4 linked regions of the Daphnia pulex genome follow. The protein of the gene in region 1 purifies or fractionates together with the protein of each later gene. This does not show direct contact. Links are inferred from orthologs where the notes say so. Each region holds a gene or a part of one and is shown in the gene's direction. Other genes may lie near its edges.

Region 1 (4,773 bases):
GTAAATGGGAGAACGCCATGACCATCGACAAAGAAGCCTGGGCCTTCCGACGTAACGCCCGCCTTTCCGACTTTCTAACGACTCGGGAGTTGATCGAGACGCTTGTGACCACCGTCAGTTGCGGAGGTAAATATTCCGGGGGGGAGATGACGGCTTTACGAGCCGCGACCATTCCTTCTAGATTTGATTGGCTCGTATTTTTACAAACGTGCTTGCTGAGAGCAGGAAATTTATTGATGAATATCGGGCCCACGGCGGACGGCGTGATTCGTCCAATATTCGAAGAGCGTCTGCGCGACGTCGGGTCGTGGTTGCAAGTCAACGGCGAGGCTATTTTCGGAACTCTTCCGTGGACACTCCAAAACGATACTCTAACCAGCAATGTTTGGTAAGTCATTTTACCGATGATGTGATTCTTCTCCAGGGATTCTTGAAACCATCGCGAGATCATATCATAGGTACACCAGTAAGAGAATTTTCATATGGAAGTACGTGTACGGAATAACTCTACGATGGCCGGAAAACAACACCCTAATGATCGGAGCTCCAGTTCCATTGACTGATGGATCTGTCGTCACTTTGCTGGGATACAAAGATCCATTAAAAGTATTTCGACATTTCTATAGCAAATCTGTAATGAAGAATAACTAAGCCATTTGTTTTTCTAGTGGAGTATTTTTAAAGGCGTCCTATCAATCCAATTTCCTGAAATGAATAAAGTCGAGAGCCAGTGGGGATGGACAGTGAAATTCGCCATATAATAATAATTGACTACTTACTAATTGTTAAAAAATTGTTTCGCATAAACATGTTGTTGGTAGGACCACAATTGGTTCTGATGATTTTGTTTGGTTTGAAATTTAATTGACTTATTTTTCCCAGTACTACACTGTTTCTATGTGTGTGTGTGATATTTTATGACTACGAGTTGGAGCAGAGGATCTTGTTTCACTTTCAGACGGCAGTAAAAACGAAGAGGAGCTCTGCTGTGTATCCACGCAACCCCCCTGCGCGAAAAGAGGATTAGTCTCTCCGATCGACTGCGTTGGAGGTCTTGGTTTATTGTCTGTATTTTCCCAACACTTTGGGTGAAATTAAATTCTATGCAACATTACTTAAAATCAGGAAATTTTTTAACCAGTAGGAACACTGTACCGAACTGGTAAATGTACAACATTTTAATCAAATCAATCCATGATCTAAATTTCAACGAATATTAGACGACTGACTTACGTCATGAAGGCCGAATAGAATAATTTTGTCGTTGATTCCGCGTCATTCAAGTGTTGCTTTACGGATCTATAAAGTAATTGAGTAAAATAAAATTGTGATGGCCAATGAAGACCGAAGGCAAGTTCACGATACAATAAATTTGTTAAATTTTATTAGGTTATTTTGTTAATTTAGAATTATTATTTTACGATGATTCATTTTTGAAAGAACGAAAAAAAGCTCTAAGTGCTCTAAGGGCAATTGCTTTTCACGCGTGCAGTATATATTCAATTTCGACGACTTGGCAACGCCGTTCGCGCTCTGGACTCCTCCAGTCCAGTCCTCCTTTGTGTCCGTTGTTAAACCGGCGTAACGGCGTTGTTGTGTTGTTGCATGAACTGAGTGAGATTGTGAGATCTCTCAACTTATTTAACGAGAGCAATCGTCTATTTCTTGATACTTGGCGTTTAAAAGTTGGACTTTTTGAAGCGTGGTTACCCTCTCTATCGACATGTCGAAATCAGAGGAGGAAGGTAGCCCTATGGAAACTCCAGCTGATACTGGCGAAAATTCTGTAAGTCCCATCACGATTGTTTTGTTTCAATTAAAAACTATTCGACATTCATTAATTTCCTTATGTTGAATTTAATAGCAAACAGAGTCTTCATCCCGATCATCCCTTTCTAAAGGCAAAGATGACTTTGACAAGAAAACGGTAAGTGTTTTTCTGTAACAGTTTTGGGAATTGTTTGTTGACAAAAATTGTTTGTGTAGGAAGTGGACCGTAGCAAGAGGTTTGACTATCTCTTGAAACAAACTGAGCTTTTCGGTCATTTCATGGCAGCTCCAGGAACCAAAGCTCCATCAAGCCCCTTGAAACTGAAACCAGGAAGACCCCGCAAAGAAAAGAAAATAGCAGAAGCGGGAGATAACAGACATAGAAAGACTGAAGAAGAAGAAGATGAGGAATTGATGGAAGAAGTCAAGGCTGCTGAGAAAGCTGCCCTTGTTACACGTTTTGATACATCACCATTTTACATCAAAGGTGGTGAGATGAGGGACTATCAAGTTCGTGGTCTCAATTGGATGATTTCTTTGTATGAAAACGGCATCAATGGTATTCTGGCTGATGAGATGGGTCTGGGAAAAACCCTTCAGACAATCTCTTTGTTGGGATACATGAAGCACTACCGCAACATTAATGGACCTCACATGGTTATTGTACCAAAATCAACACTTGCCAATTGGATGAATGAATTCAAAAAGTGGTGCCCCACCCTTCGTGCCGTGTGCCTCACTGGAGATCAAGAAACAAGGGTATGTTTTTTGTGTTTTATAAATGAAAATTTAGTACTTTGTTGCATTGCTAAAATCATCACATTTTCGTAGGCCAATATCGTTCGCGATGAAATCATGCCAGGTGAATGGGATGCCTGCGTTACCTCCTATGAAATTGTCATGAAAGAACGAGCTGTATTCAAGAAGTTCAACTGGCGATACATGGTTATCGACGAAGCACATCGTATCAAAAACGAAAAATCCAAACTTTCAGAAATTGTCCGCGAGTTCAAAACATCTAACCGTCTACTGATCACCGGAACACCTCTCCAGAACAACTTGCACGAACTCTGGGCTCTACTTAACTTTCTTTTGCCAGACATCTTCAACAATTCAGAGGTAATGTTCTCTATTATATCGAAAACTCGTTGCAGCTTCTAAACTGTCAATCATTTAGGATTTCGATGAATGGTTTAACGCCAACAACTGTCTTGGAGACGATTCTCTGATCCATCGTCTGCATGCCGTTCTACGACCTTTCCTTCTTCGTCGTCTTAAGGCCGAAGTAGAAAAACGACTGAAACCTAAGAAGGAAGTTAAGGTCTATATCGGTCTTAGCAAGATGCAGCGTGAGATGTACACCAAGATTTTGATGAGAGATATTGATATTGTGAATGGTGCCGGAAAGTTGGAAAAGATGCGTCTTCAAAATATTCTTATGCAGCTTCGTAAATGTTGTAACCATCCTTACCTGTTTGACGGAGCTGAACCTGGGCCACCCTACACTACCGACGAGCACATTGTGAGTTTTTCATTTCTAGTCTTGTTTAAATGTTGTACTTACAAAACGATTTTATTTTTCCTAGGTTTACAATTGTGGCAAGATGGTTATCTTGGACAAACTGTTGCCTAAACTGAAAGCCCAAGGATCTCGTGTGCTTATTTTTAGCCAAATGACCCGTATGTTGGACATCTTAGAGGATTATTCCCTCTGGAGAGGTTACAATGTAAGATGAATTGAGCTAATTTTTTTTTTAAACCCAACTAAACGTTATTTGAATTCTTTCAGTACTGTCGTCTCGATGGCAGCACTCCTCACGAGGATCGACATCGTCAAATTGAAGAGTATAATGCGCCAGATAGCAAGAAGTTTTTATTTATGCTTTCTACTCGTGCTGGAGGTTTGGGTATTAACTTGGCCACCGCTGACGTTGTCGTCCTTTTTGACTCAGATTGGAATCCTCAAATGGATCTTCAGGCTATGGTATTATCTGATAACACATTGAGGTTACTTTTCAGGTTAATTTACTGTTTTCAACTAATGTAGGATCGAGCCCATCGTATCGGTCAGCTGAAGCAGGTTAGGGTGTTCCGGTTCATCACAGACAATACAGTGGAAGAAAAAATTGTTGAGAAGGCCGAAGTGAAATTGCGTCTCGACAAATTGGTTATTCAACAAGGACGATTACTTGACAAAACAAACAGCGCCCTCAACAAAGATGAAATGCTCAACATGATCAGACACGGAGCAGATCACGTTTTTGCCTCCAAAGACTCCGACATCACAGACGAAGACATTGAATCTATTTTAGCCAAAAGCGAAAACAGAGTAAGTTTGCCTTATATAAAGATGGATCGATTTTTTTGAGTAATTTGCATCTTGTATTGTTATTTTTCAGACACAAGAAGTTGCTGAACGTCTCGAGAAACTCGGAGAATCATCGCTCCGTAATTTCACTTTGGACGCCCCAACAGAGTCCGTCTACCAGTTCGAAGGCGAAGACTATCGGTAATACCACATCTAGCTTTGTAATCATGGAACATGCTTACATTGAAACTTTTTTGTTACATAGAGAGAAACAAAAGTCGATTGTTGGTGCCTGGATTGAACCGCCTAAACGTGAGCGCAAGGCCAACTATGCCGTAGATGCATATTTTAGGGAAGCTCTTCGAGTTACAGAACCCAAAGCTCCCAAGGTAAGGCCCTAATATTTGTTGCATCCGTTCCATCTGAATCACTTCTTTGATTTACTTAGGCACCTCGACCACCTAAACAACCCATCGTGCAAGACTTCCAGTTTTTCCCGCCACGGCTATTTGAGTTGCTTGATCAAGAGATTTATCATTACCGTAAAACGGTCGGCTACAAGGTTCCGCGTAACCCTGAGCTGGGAGCTGAAGCTGCCAAAGTCCAACGAGAGGAACAAAGGAAAATTGATGAAGCCGAGCAACTAACGGACGAGGAGCAGGCGGAGAAGGAAAGTCTTTTAACTCAGGGTTTTA
Region 2 (4,804 bases), on another chromosome or scaffold:
TCTGAGTGTTTTCCCCAGTCCCGTCATTATTGGCAGCAATATTGTGATTAAAATGGTCACTGATTTTTTTCATTTTATAGACACAACTCGGATGCGGAGTCTCCACTACCGACTTAAATAAAGGTTGCAGCTTGTACATCCTACCTACGTATATTCTATTTAAAATTTAAAGGAGGAAATGAGAAGACTGCGATTGAATAGCTTCGAGCCTTAGAAATGTGGTCTATTTTTATCATGGCCTACTATAGTCACGGCCCATCATCGTACGCTTCTGTGTGGGACCAATTTTGGGTTCCCTGCCCCTTCCCTGTTGCCATAGTACATAGCCAGAGGGTCGTAAGTATCGGTTTTTGTTCCACATTTCCGCAGATTCTGTGTCTGGCTTGCATAGTGCTATGGTCAGAGTCGACTAAAAGTATGCGATTGACAGTCTAGTGGTTAAAGCGGTAGATTCCCACTAGAGTGGTATTAGGATCAAATCTATGCAAGTCATAATCAATTTTTCATAATTTTTCCTTGTTTTTTCTTTATTTTTAAAGCGAATTAGATGGAATGCCTAGATTGTGAAAAAATGCGAGTTTTTTCACATTATTTTCAACAAAATCTGAATTTGCTTTTTTTTCTAAGTCCTTGCCAAAGAAAACAAATTCAGATTTTGTTTTAAAAAATGTGAAAAAACTCGCATTTTTTACACAATCTAGGCATTCCATCTAATTCGCTTTAAAAATATAGAAAAAACAAGGAAAAATTATGAAAAATTGATTATGACTTGCATAGATTTGAACCTAACACCTCTAATGTGGGAATCCTCCGCTATACCCACTAGACTGTCCTTCAATTGCATTTAATCGACTCTGACCATGCCTGGATGCAAGCCAGACACACAGGCATGGCGACTTAAGCCAAAAAATCCCAAAGGGTGGAAAGAATCTGCGGAAATGTGGAACAAAAACCGATACTTACGACCCTCTGGCTATGTACTATGGCAACAGGGAAGGGGCAGGGAACCTAAAATTGGTCCCACACAGAAGCGTACGATGATGGGCCGTGACTATAGTAGGCCATGATTTTTATAATTTTTTTTAGATAACCAAAGTCGTCTGCTATTTGAACAGCGACGCCTGGCCGTGATTAGACAAACTACTAACAAACTCTTACTAAGCGTGGTGATACTAAATTAGCATAACAAAATACAAGAAAAAATGTTACATCTAATAAGAATTTTTGAGAGTGCAACATCATTTTTATGGAAAGTTTGAATATTCTCTAAAGATCATCGATAAGCAATCGATTTCCAAAGTTATCGTCGAATCATTCTCACTTTCTCAGTTCTAATTAATTCTTAAAAAACTCTTCTTTAACCTCTTGAAACATACAAAACAGACAAAAAATTAGTTAAAATCGACATTGATTGACAAAATTCACTTTTGAAAAACAAAAATTTGAATTTTGGTTGCTATGAAAGACTTTTAGTGATTGGTTTCAGTTTTCGACCAATCCCGCTAGAGTTAGTTATGGCTTAAGGCCCCCTTTCATTCCCTCCCGCCTATTTCTCTCTCGTAGCATCTCAGAGCAAAAAACTCTGAAATTTTTTTGTGGCGTCACCGGGGCCTAAAACACTTTCAAGTCAACGTATTTCAACCGTTCAATTGTTCAACGTTTTGTTTTAGAGTGTTTGGCACAATATTAACTGTCGTTGTGAGTGTGAAAACTATTTTCGTGAATATTCAGCAGGCAATATCTGAAAAGTCACGTGATCAAGATGGCCGTTAAGCCTTCCGCGTACAACACTACTACTAGGTGGTAGTGGACACCGTGGGAAGTTTTGGCGCCCTGTCAACCTTGTTTATAAACAAGCATACTACTGCCGGCCTACTCCAGTGTTTCAGCTGGTCATTAATCCTTTGTTAAAAGTGTATCCCACAGTCGATAATGTCGTCGAGAGGCGGTAGGAGACGCGGGAGGCCGCCTAAATCATCTTATACAACACCACACTTCCTAAATTCCCGATCGAACGTTATCGAGAAGCCTAAATGGTTTTTGTCTCGTGATGGAGTGGCTAATGACAATGGTCCAACTGGGTCTAGAGCTAGTTCACCGGGAGGCAGTGTGGGGAGTTTCACACAACAATACAGTGCCAAAAAACATATATCAGTAACTCCATTCAAGAAACGTGGAAGGAAAGCGGGTACAAGAGGCAACAGAGGTGGCAAAGCATATGTGCCTAGGCCTTCGTTGGTCATTACCAGGGGTAATGATTATCATTATGGCTCAGACTTTGACTCTGGTAGTGATTCTGATGGGCCTCCGAGCCAAGGAGAAGATGCAGAGTTGGATGTTGAGAGTGACGTGGACATACCAATTAGCGAGCCAGAGAGTGATGAACTGGATGATAATGCCTCAGATATCTCCATTTCTAATCAAAGTTCCTCAATGCGAAAAATTGTTGAATCCAGTATAAAGTCTATACCCACTCCACTCCCTATTTGGCTCCAGTCCGATCAAGATTTACCAGTGTTGACTCTACCCAAATCTTCTGAAGACCTTCTCTTGCCTACACACCAAGTGCTACCTGCTTGCGCGATTTACGAAGTCCTACGCAAGTTTAGCAGTGAGGTTGGTTTGGTTTTTATTATGAATAATTTTCCCTGGCTAATCAATCTCTCTGCGTAGGTGAGGCTCTCTCCTTTTCGACTCGAGGATTTCATGGCCGCTCTTCAATCGGAAGAAATGACAACTCTTTTGGCGGAAGTCCATGTTCAACTCTTAAAGTCCATGCTTCGAGAGGAAGACGTACAACAAACTTGGTTTGGACCACTGGACCAGAAAGACAGCACAAATTCTGTGTTAAACTTTGCCGACACGCTGACGTGGCCAGAAGTCATGCGGATATACATGCAGAGTGACCCGACCTTTGCACCTGCACTCTCTTTACTTGAATCCTGCGAATATCCTTTTACTACCTGCGACGTCCGTCTGAACCTCCTCAAGTTTCTTACTGACCATTTTCTCTGCAATACGGCTGTCCGACAAGAGTTCCTTAGCGAGGGTAACATTTTTTAAATCATTTTTATGGTTTTAAACATACTAATTCATCTTTCATCTATAGGAAACATCAAATATAATGACCATTGTCGAGTTTGCCACAAAGTTGGAGATTTGCTCTGCTGTGAGACATGTCCAGCCGTCTATCACCTCCACTGTCTCGACCCACCACTGGAGCACGTTCCAAACGAGGATTGGCAGTGTCCTATATGCACGGCCCAACTATGCAAAGGAGTAACTGATTGTATAAGTGATGTTGAACGATCCGGTTTTCTCTGCCGACAAGTAATTATCCTGAAACCCAATGCTGGCGGATGAATTCCTTTTTAATTCATGTATTCTCTTTTAGGAATCTTTGGGCTACGACCGACACGGACGCAAATACTGGTTTATTGCCAGACGGATCTTTGTCGAAGAAACTGGCAGCCGGGAAGAAATTGACGGAGATGAAGAAACTATTGCCGTGGAGGACCGTAAAACTTGGTACTACTCCAGTCCCCATCAGTTTGAACAGTTGCTTGCAGCTTTGGACAAGACAGATTTTGAAAAGGCTCTTTGTCAAGAACTATACAATCTAAGGCCGGAAATATTGAGGCAGATGGCTCTCACGATACAGCTGACAAACGAGAATAAAGGTGAATAATATTTTAATCTACCTAATTTTATTCATAAAAGACGCTAATCATTTGTTATACATTTTAGGCAACAACAAATCATATCTCGAACTTGACGAAGAAGTTGCAAGGGAGGCCTCTCAGACGGTCGTCAAAGTTGAAAAAGAAGAAGATGACGAGGCTGATGAGAACCTCTCTGTCGATGCAATCAAAACAGAGAAGGAAAAAATAGAAACTGAGGAGGTTGTGGAAGAATGCGGTGTGGAAGTGGATGACGATTTCATGCAACAATTGCATGTGGAATCTGAACCTAAAGTAGAGCCTGAAGAAACGCCTACTACCGGTACACCAACAGCCAACGGAACTTACTCTACGCGCTCCAAAACCGGCACCATTGTGGCACGCACCTATGTCGACATGAAACGGCGAAATTTAACAACCAACGGTTCTGGCGGAGTCACTATTAAGGAGGAAAGAAGTGGCACCCCTACCAAATCAAAATCTCAATCTCCTTTACCCTCCGACGTCATCTTTAAATTGGGCATGGAAGGACGGCACAAGACGTACGTCAACCAGTACACGAGCAATCCCCTCGCGCTCAACAAAAACCAGGCAGCAGAGGAGAGAGACCGCAAGCGTTACTTGTCGCACAAGTTCTCCATTACGGGTTGCGGCGAGTTTAAGTGGTTGGGCAGTACATTTGGCAACCGCACTATCATGCAGCAAACTGTTCGTTCCACCTTGCTCCAACTGCACTCTCAATTGCCTGCTATTTTCATGCATCCTAACTGGGCTGGGAGTATGCGAAAGTCTTGGATCCAAGCTGTCAATCAAAGCGTCTCGCCAACAGACCTCGGTCGTGTCCTCTCAATCCTGGTTGCGTGCATCCGCCCAGTTGTTTTCTCTTCCGTCTGGCACGAGTCACTTGGCCACATTCGACTTCAACGACAGACGGCCCTTGAACGTGAAGAGCGGAAGAAGGTGGACAAGAAGGAGAAGAAGGATAAAGAACTGGAAGAAGAGATGCATCGACTACACACCGTCCATTACACCAAAGGCCTCAAGCACCAGGTAATAGAAACTATTTTTATTTCTATTTGAATCCATATCTAATTGGTTTCACATTGTTTTCGACAGATCTGGAA
Region 3 (4,461 bases), on another chromosome or scaffold:
GCTTATATCGTACCATGCTGGATGAATGATGATGATGAATATATTGGGTCCGATCGAATCTACAATGAATTATTGTTCAAATGAACGGAAGGCCAACAGCTAACTTAAATTGTGGAATATCTCTTTTGAAATGAGAACAGAAGTTGACTTCAATTTTGGACCATTGTTATGATAATATCTCAACCGGCATTTCCATCCATTATTACTCCTCATATTCCTCATACTCCTCATACTACACGTAATGCTCGGCGAAATATATATATATATATATTTCATTTGGTTGAAGCACTACGTTATTAGCCTTTAGTGAATGTTGTGATAGCAGAAAATTTTAATCCAATAAATACGTTATGAAGGAATGGAAAGAAATGACGGTGTTTTCAAATCATTAATTTTTCTTAGACGCAGTAAAAAATAATCCTATTAACGCTGTACAACTTCTATACTGAACTCAATTAAATTTATGGCAAAAAATACACTGTGCAATGAAAGAGAATTTTGAAGTGGTTTACTCGTCTTGCTATCTTCTAGTTCAAATATCGGTTTGATTGTCTGATGACGGAAAATATTACATTGTTTAACGGATGGCCGGAGGAGGCTTTCTTCATGATTTACTGTGAACCATTTCCTAGAGCGCCAATCGCCTTTACATTGTAACAGGTAGATCACTTTAACCTTGACAACAAAGGTGAAGCACCTTCAAATTTCCTTCCATTGTTTTGGCATCTAGCGCTAAACCACTATGAAATTAATTATGCGCAACAGAAAAAGCTTGAGAAAAAGTTAAAATCATATTGGGCATCGGAAAACCATTAAAATTTTGTGGAATTAAGCATTGATATATTTTTGAAAGCAAATATTTTTTTCTAGAAAAAATAACTGTATTCCTATAACAATATAACTGTTTTTATGCCTTACACTGCCTTACATGAAGATTTTTTCCTAGACCTACCCACAGGCATACAAATCTCTCAACACCCATGGCCTACCTAAATATTGTTTTTAATTATTACTAATTAAATTTAATTTTTAAATCAGACTTTTGAAGTAGGCAAATTCTTTTAATTTGACAACAATTTTATTATTTTCAAGATTTTTTTCTTTAAAGACATGACCATGCCATCTATGAACGGCAAAATAAACTATTGAAGTAGTTTCGACTTTTTCCAAAGTGGCACCACTGGAATTGCTTTCGTTTTTGCCGCCATTTAACAAAGCAGCACGCTCAAAAGTCTCTGCTAACCGAATCTATTGCTTGACAGGTTCCAGCCGGTTCATCATTAGTAAAGGACTTGATTGACTAACGATGGCAGATAAAGATGGAGGTATCTGTTGAAATCATTCTTTGTTATTGGATGACAGTGAAATTTAATCCAATCTTTTTTAGAGCCCTTTGATGAAGCAGTGGAAGAACGCGTCATCAACGAGGAATACAAAATTTGGAAGAAAAATACTCCATTTTTGTATGATTTGGTTATGACACATGCTCTGGAATGGCCTTCACTTACAGCTCAATGGCTTCCTGATGTTACAAGGTAAATTACTGAGAACAAAGGTGTTTTATTGTTTCTTTCTAACTGTTGAATGTTTCTTTTCTCCGTTAGGCCTGAAGGCAAAGACTACTCAGTGCATCGTCTCATCCTTGGTACTCACACTAGCGATGAACAAAATCACCTCTTGATTGCATCTGTCCAGCTTCCTAATGAGGATGCTCAGTTTGATGCTTCACATTATGACAATGATAAAGGAGGTAGTCATTTAACTTGATCAAATCTGTTGCACTATTGTTTTAATGCTTCATCTCTATCAGAGTTTGGAGGCTTTGGATCAGTGAGTGGTAAGATTGAAATTGAGATCAAGATCAACCATGAAGGAGAAGTCAACAGGGCTCGCTACATGCCCCAGAATCCTTGTGTGATTGCCACTAAAACACCTTCATCTGACGTCTTGGTCTTTGACTACACAAAACATCCTTCTCGCCCTGATCCTAGTGGAGAGTGCCACCCTGATTTACGGTGAGTCATTTTTTATTCAAATGATTTCTTATGACCTAAACTTGTTACTCACAACTACATTATCTTTTTTTAGTCTGAGAGGACACCAGAAGGAAGGTTACGGTTTGTCTTGGAATCCAAACCTTAATGGTCACTTGCTGTCAGCATCTGATGACCACACCATTTGCTTGTGGGATATTAACGCATCGCCGAGAGAGAATCGTGTTCTCGACGCCAAAACCGTATTCACTGGCCACACAGCAGTTGTAGAAGATGTCGCTTGGCACTTGCTTCACGAGTCCTTGTTTGGTTCCGTTGCCGATGATCAGAAGCTTATGATTTGGGATACTCGCAGCAATAACACCAGCCGGCCCTCCCATACCGTGGATGCTCATACGGCTGAAGTGAACTGTCTGTCATTCAATCCTTACTCCGAATTTATTTTAGCTACCGGATCTGCAGACAAAGTATTCATTTAATATTAAAATCTACTATTTATTCTACTCAACTAAACATGTCTCCAAATTGTATTTCTAGACTGTAGCTCTTTGGGATTTGAGAAATCTTAAACTCAAATTACATTCGTTCGAGTCGCACAAGGATGAAATCTTTCAAGTCCAATGGTCACCGCATAATGAGACTATTTTGGCTTCGTCTGGCACCGACCGACGCTTGCATGTCTGGGACTTGTCCAAAATTGGAGAAGAACAATCCACCGAAGATGCCGAAGATGGCCCTCCAGAATTGTTGGTAAGTTGAAATATTGATGCGATTGTTTGATTCGGATGCTGTTTAATTATTGAATTCTCAACAGTTCATTCACGGTGGTCATACGGCCAAGATCTCTGATTTCTCCTGGAACCCGAATGAGCCCTGGGTCATCTGCTCCGTCTCTGAGGATAACATCATGCAAGTTTGGCAAATGGCTGAAAATATTTACAACGACGAGGAGCCTGAGACGCCAGCCTCAGAACTGGAAACCCCTACTAATTAATGCATTTCCAGTGTATCGCCCTATACCCTATTTCTCATCGTTTGATTCTTTACTGTCCCACGTACACGCTCATCTTTTTTTTAACATTCAAATCTTCGAATTTGGCCCTTACATCGCTTGGAGATCCAAGTTTGTGTATTCAATAAATAGCTTTCCGCGATTTGGTTCAATTTGAATTATTCTAATTACTGCCGTTAATTAGGTTACTAGTCCATTTGCAGTCCATTAAGTGGGTTGTGATGAAATTTCAATAAATGGTTGAAAGACGCTCTTATTCAGAACAAAATTCGACTCTTGATCGCCTGACCCTATGACGCAATCATTAGATTTCGAAAGCTAAATAACAGTAAATTGCCTAATTCCCGACTGTTCTAATTATTCGTGATTTTGTATTTGTACATGTTCGACTGTTTTCTTTGAACTCGGATTTCTAATCTGTGATGTTTGGATTTAGAAGCCAACAGCATATCCGTCTTGACCGTGAATCAACATTGTTCGGCTCACACTGGCCCGCCAGCAAGCAGCAGGTAAACATCTATCGTCTTCAGCTGGGTGTGGGCATCATGCGGCAGTAAAAAAGTTCCTCTCCTACCCGTGAATAAGTGTAGAGGACCGATGTTATTTATTATTCAACCTTGAAAACGCAATTAAAGCGCTTGAGGTTGAGCATGACGAAGACTCCAGCAGCATCCTCAACACCGTGTTCGGCCAAGGTCCGTCTGGATGGTTGGACCCCGTATTGGGATTGAGAAAACGCCAACATTTGTTATGTTTATGGATCGCGAAATGTGAAAATCGATTCCACATTTTCATAATGTTTTTGTTTGTTTGTTTTTTTCGCTTTTTTGTCAGTTGAAATATGCCTTGCAAAAACGTGACGCATCGGTTTTTCAAGGGCAGTTACCCAAACGCCCAAAACAAAGGCGCGCAATATTTTTTTCCAATATCCGCAAACGACTGAAATAAAATTCATTGAAAATACCGGCATCGTTAATCTCTTCTGATTTTCAATTTTAAAAAATCGATTTTGTATTTTTTTGTTTCAATGAAACCTCATCATAAAATTATTTTTACGCATTGAAAAGCCACGGGTTGCTTAACTGTTAATAAAGGTATTTACCGAATTTTCCAGACAATACATTGTATAATTAATTTCGGTTTTAGTCTCTAACACGGAAATTGCGTTTCAAGTCGGTGCTGGGCCTATCGGTGCTGGTTGTCAAGTCACTTTCCTGACTGAATAGATCCATTAATCACCTAATCGAAAGAGCGCTGGCCATCGTTGAGATATGCATTTTCGGTTGGAGGAAGCCAACATCAAAGAGATGGATGATGCTTATTTTCAATCGGGGTATACAAGTAAAATAACTCACGACAGAGCTGTTTACCCGATCTTTGGCCTTGCGGGACCTTGATCGAGCGCGTTGACGCGTGGTGTTACGTACGGCTCGCGGTGCTGTACTGGGACTTGGT
Region 4 (3,331 bases), on another chromosome or scaffold:
CACCTGATTTAACGAAACCAATTACAATACATTTATTTCAAGATTTGTATATAACTTGGTCATCCAACCTTACCTGAAAAACAAGCTTTCGACTCAGAATTTCACACTGTGTAAATTCATCTACATACTGCAAGATTAATGGAATAATAAACTTGAGAAGACCATCATCACAAGTTTTACATTTTTCAAGCATGTCCAACTGCCATTGTAAGAAATCTTGGCATTCAAGAAGTCCCTCCTGAAAGACAAATGAAATTGCAAAAACGAAAAAATAAAATTTTATCTCCACAATACCTCAAACATCACTTTGCATAATTGCTGGCAATAATTAAATTGGCGAAGAGCAAGCTTCTGTTCATCACTCATCAAAGGGCTACCATTATGATATGCAGTAGCATTTGAAGCATATGCAGCAGAAGTTCCTCCACTATTTGTGGATTTTTGATAGAAATCTTGTAGTTTCACAATTTGTTCCTTTATGAACCGGACCAATGTACTAGTCCACTCTATATAACAAAAAAATGATTATAATTGCAGATAAAATAAATTATTTAAATCTTGGAAACTACCTTGAGAGGAATCTGGAACTTGACGCTTTTTCATTTTGGCTTCAGAAATAGCCACTGAATACGCAGATGTCATCTTGATTAACCATATTGCTCTAGACATAGGAACCTGATATTCACTTAGTTGGATAAATATTTCTTCCTTCTTGTTGAATATTGGCACCTTGTAAAAGGAATCAAAAGTTGGTATTTTTATTTGTTTAAGATATTCTGAGTATAATATTACTCTTTTTCCTAGATTCATCAAAGGTTTGCTGCCTGCTAAGTCTTTGAACCAAGACTCAATGAATGCCTTGGACTTTGGAGTAACATTATGGAAATTTTCTTTGGGATTGATGAGTTGGCGTTTTCGGCCAGTATCAGGCAATGTGTTGATTTCTTGTTTTTTTGTAAGCACTCCATTAATAAAAGTTTGGACCTAACATTAGGAAAGAATAATAAAATGGTTGTCAGCCTAGAACAATCTATGAACATCATACTAATTACAGTAAATTGTAGTTTACCTTTGATAAAGAAAAGTTGTGATTTTTAGCAGATCCATACTCTTCAGACTGATTAAGATTGGGTGTATGAGAAAATCCTTGTTTCACATTGACAGGAGTCAGTTCATCCTAAAAATAGTATTCCAAATGTTAATGAAAGGAAAACATAAAGAATTATCCTTTTTTTTAAATGAAACTGCCTTTTGGCAACTAGCATTTTCGTACTTGGGCTCATAAAAAAGCTGCAGCTACATTCAAAATATTACCTCTTTTTGTTTGGGATCCTGTGGGTAAACATCGGGCGGTCCTAATCTCAATTTTTTAAGAGGACGATTTTCCATTGATAAACAAGCCATAACTAGCTCTAAAATCAATTTCCACGCAGAAGTATAAATTTGTTACCACACATCAATGTTTACACAACACAAGTACACAAGTAATCAAATACTTCTAAATTCTTATCAAGAGTTCCGATTTTCAGACCATGGTTCAGACAGATATATCAGTGTGATGGCTTTGCTACAACGTTGCATTTCTATAATTTGCTGTTACGGCACACATAAAGAATAATTGGAGATGAATGTATTTGAATTTTGGACTAATCGTAGTCTAGCAACTGAATTTAGAAATAGTTATTAATACAATTGGTATCAATTTATTATGAACAAATTAATGACAAAATATGCTCCTTGCATTTTCAATTTTCATTGATCACATCTTGGCAGTGCTGTAAAAGTCAGCAGACTATATTTTGAACATTTCTATTTTGGCATTTTGTTAGAAATTGTAGTGGCGCGGAATTGCTGAATTGATTGAAGTGAAGGACTAAATCAAGTGAAATTAAATTAAGAATGTCTTCCTTTAAACCGAAATTAGGAGACGGCTCCATAATATTACCACAAGCACGAGTAAAAATGATTATGAAGAGTTCCCCAGATACTGAGAGCATATCCACTGACGCATTATACTTTGTAACAAAAGCAACGGTATTTTTAGTTTGTTTCCAGATAATTTTTTCATCTTATTTTTCTCATCTTCATCTAAAATGTTTCAATGTTTTAAGGAGTTTTTTGTAGAACATTTAGCCCAAGAGATTTATGAAAGTACCAAAAAGTCAAATGAGCTTACTTACAAAGGTCTAGCTGACATTGTTCAAAAAAGTGATTCTATGCAGTTTCTCAAAGGTACTGTGTTACTAAATGGTATTAGTAAAATTTTAATTTATTATTATTATTGTGTTTTCAGATATGGTTCCTAAGAAAATAACATACAAGGAATATCAAGAAATTCTGAAGGAAAAAGGAAATGGTGACTTGTTTTGAGTGTTTATTCAAATTCATTTCTGTCTTCAACATTACTTGCTCATATTTATAAGTGTTCCACTAAGGAAAGTTCAATTTCAAATACATTGATTGAACCCATTGTTCCTTTACGATTCACATCAACTAAGATAGTTTGGTGGTTCAATAGACTGCAGTTAATGTACTGTTGTAATTAATTAATTGCGGTTTTATGTGACCATTTGTTAGCCTAAACGGGTGTGTCCGTATTTTTTTCTCCCTCAATTTAGCGTACGTTATTTTCAAACCACAGCTGCTGCAATAAGCAAAATGGCAAAGTTCAGCGTGTCACCCATAGATGGCGAAAAAAGCAGTCTAAAAAAACAAAACATTTGATTTTGATTTTTGACATTTTGACACTAGAAGGGCTACTCTAATTTCTAAAAGGATGGCGAACTCCAACCGTGTTACAGTAATACATACTGGATATTCTTCTACCACAATTGAGGAAAAAGACGAAAATCTTCCTTTCGTCCGTGCAAATTGCTCATGCGTATTGGTTACCGGCAGTAAAAATAGTAACAAACAGCACAATCCAAATATGTTCGCAATAACGTGATAACAGTTAATAAATTATTTTTTCAGTAATTGTTGATACAATGACACCTTGGGATACCAATCTCATTTTACTATCTTTAGAGGCGAATGGGTTAACCCCTGATGACATCAACTATGTCATATCTACTCATGGTCATTCGGATCACACTGGCAACAACAATTTGTTTCTGAAAGCTAAACATATAGTTGGCTATTGCATTTCTGTTAAAGACAAATATTTTTTACATCCTTTTGATAAAGGTAAATTCTGTGGTTTCCTTTAATTGTGTACTTTATTACTTTAGCTTCAAACAAACATTAATTTTTTTTACATACAAAATGTATGATGTGCTGTAGGTCTTCCATTTGAAATTGATGAGGGTATTACAGTAATACCTACACCTGG

What was found.
Region 2: the proteins of chromatin-remodeling complex ATPase chain Iswi-like (region 1) and nucleosome-remodeling factor subunit NURF301-like purify together in Drosophila melanogaster (affinity purification with western blotting; 7 studies listed by BioGRID, with this or other methods). This does not show direct contact. The link is inferred for Daphnia pulex from reciprocal best matches to the Drosophila melanogaster genes Iswi and E(bx).
Region 3: the proteins of chromatin-remodeling complex ATPase chain Iswi-like (region 1) and chromatin assembly factor 1 p55 subunit purify together in Drosophila melanogaster (affinity purification with western blotting; 5 studies listed by BioGRID, with this or other methods). This does not show direct contact. The link is inferred for Daphnia pulex from reciprocal best matches to the Drosophila melanogaster genes Iswi and Caf1-55.
Region 4: the proteins of chromatin-remodeling complex ATPase chain Iswi-like (region 1) and chromatin accessibility complex protein 1-like fractionate together in Drosophila melanogaster (co-fractionation; 4 studies listed by BioGRID, with this or other methods). This does not show direct contact. The link is inferred for Daphnia pulex from reciprocal best matches to the Drosophila melanogaster genes Iswi and Chrac-16.

The regions. Positions count from the first base shown.
Region 1 is NC_060024.1:13,559,507-13,564,279, forward strand, and holds the start of chromatin-remodeling complex ATPase chain Iswi-like, read left to right. Parts: upstream 1-1,515; 5' UTR 1,516-1,723; coding exon 1,724-1,786; intron 1,787-1,864; coding exon 1,865-1,927; intron 1,928-1,986; coding exon 1,987-2,529; intron 2,530-2,601; coding exon 2,602-2,889; intron 2,890-2,947; coding exon 2,948-3,292; intron 3,293-3,356; coding exon 3,357-3,497; intron 3,498-3,559; coding exon 3,560-3,754; intron 3,755-3,817; coding exon 3,818-4,099; intron 4,100-4,169; coding exon 4,170-4,279; intron 4,280-4,343; coding exon 4,344-4,467; intron 4,468-4,526; coding exon 4,527-4,773. Other genes in the region: alpha-L-fucosidase-like, read left to right, coding at 1-126, 226-388, 459-606, 669-761.
Region 2 is NC_060023.1:9,234,928-9,239,731, forward strand, and holds the start of nucleosome-remodeling factor subunit NURF301-like, read left to right. Parts: upstream 1-1,503; 5' UTR 1,504-1,932; coding exon 1,933-2,616; intron 2,617-2,673; coding exon 2,674-3,049; intron 3,050-3,109; coding exon 3,110-3,330; intron 3,331-3,394; coding exon 3,395-3,680; intron 3,681-3,747; coding exon 3,748-4,730; intron 4,731-4,796; coding exon 4,797-4,804. Other genes in the region: probable aminoacyl tRNA synthase complex-interacting multifunctional protein 2, read right to left, coding at 1-139. UniProt on the Drosophila melanogaster protein: Histone-binding component of NURF (nucleosome remodeling factor), a complex which catalyzes ATP-dependent nucleosome sliding and facilitates transcription of chromatin.
Region 3 is NC_060023.1:6,455,369-6,459,829, reverse strand, and holds chromatin assembly factor 1 p55 subunit, read left to right. Parts: upstream 1-1,168; 5' UTR 1,169-1,306; coding exon 1,307-1,325; intron 1,326-1,387; coding exon 1,388-1,535; intron 1,536-1,604; coding exon 1,605-1,750; intron 1,751-1,810; coding exon 1,811-2,015; intron 2,016-2,088; coding exon 2,089-2,461; intron 2,462-2,531; coding exon 2,532-2,744; intron 2,745-2,808; coding exon 2,809-2,988; 3' UTR 2,989-3,148; downstream 3,149-4,461. UniProt on the Drosophila melanogaster protein: Core histone-binding subunit that may target chromatin assembly factors, chromatin remodeling factors and histone deacetylases to their histone substrates in a manner that is regulated by nucleosomal DNA.
Region 4 is NC_060025.1:6,927,801-6,931,131, forward strand, and holds chromatin accessibility complex protein 1-like, read left to right. Parts: upstream 1-1,783; 5' UTR 1,784-1,899; coding exon 1,900-2,034; intron 2,035-2,111; coding exon 2,112-2,232; intron 2,233-2,293; coding exon 2,294-2,370; 3' UTR 2,371-2,469; downstream 2,470-3,331. Other genes in the region: mediator of RNA polymerase II transcription subunit 12-like, read right to left, coding at 1-3, 74-238, 295-506, 570-729, 793-984, 1,070-1,177, 1,315-1,404; metallo-beta-lactamase domain-containing protein 1-like, read left to right, coding at 2,777-2,906, 2,974-3,186, 3,283-3,331. UniProt on the Drosophila melanogaster protein: Histone-like protein which promotes nucleosome sliding of ATP-dependent nucleosome remodeling complexes. Part of the chromatin-accessibility complex (CHRAC) which uses energy/ATP to increase the general accessibility of DNA in chromatin.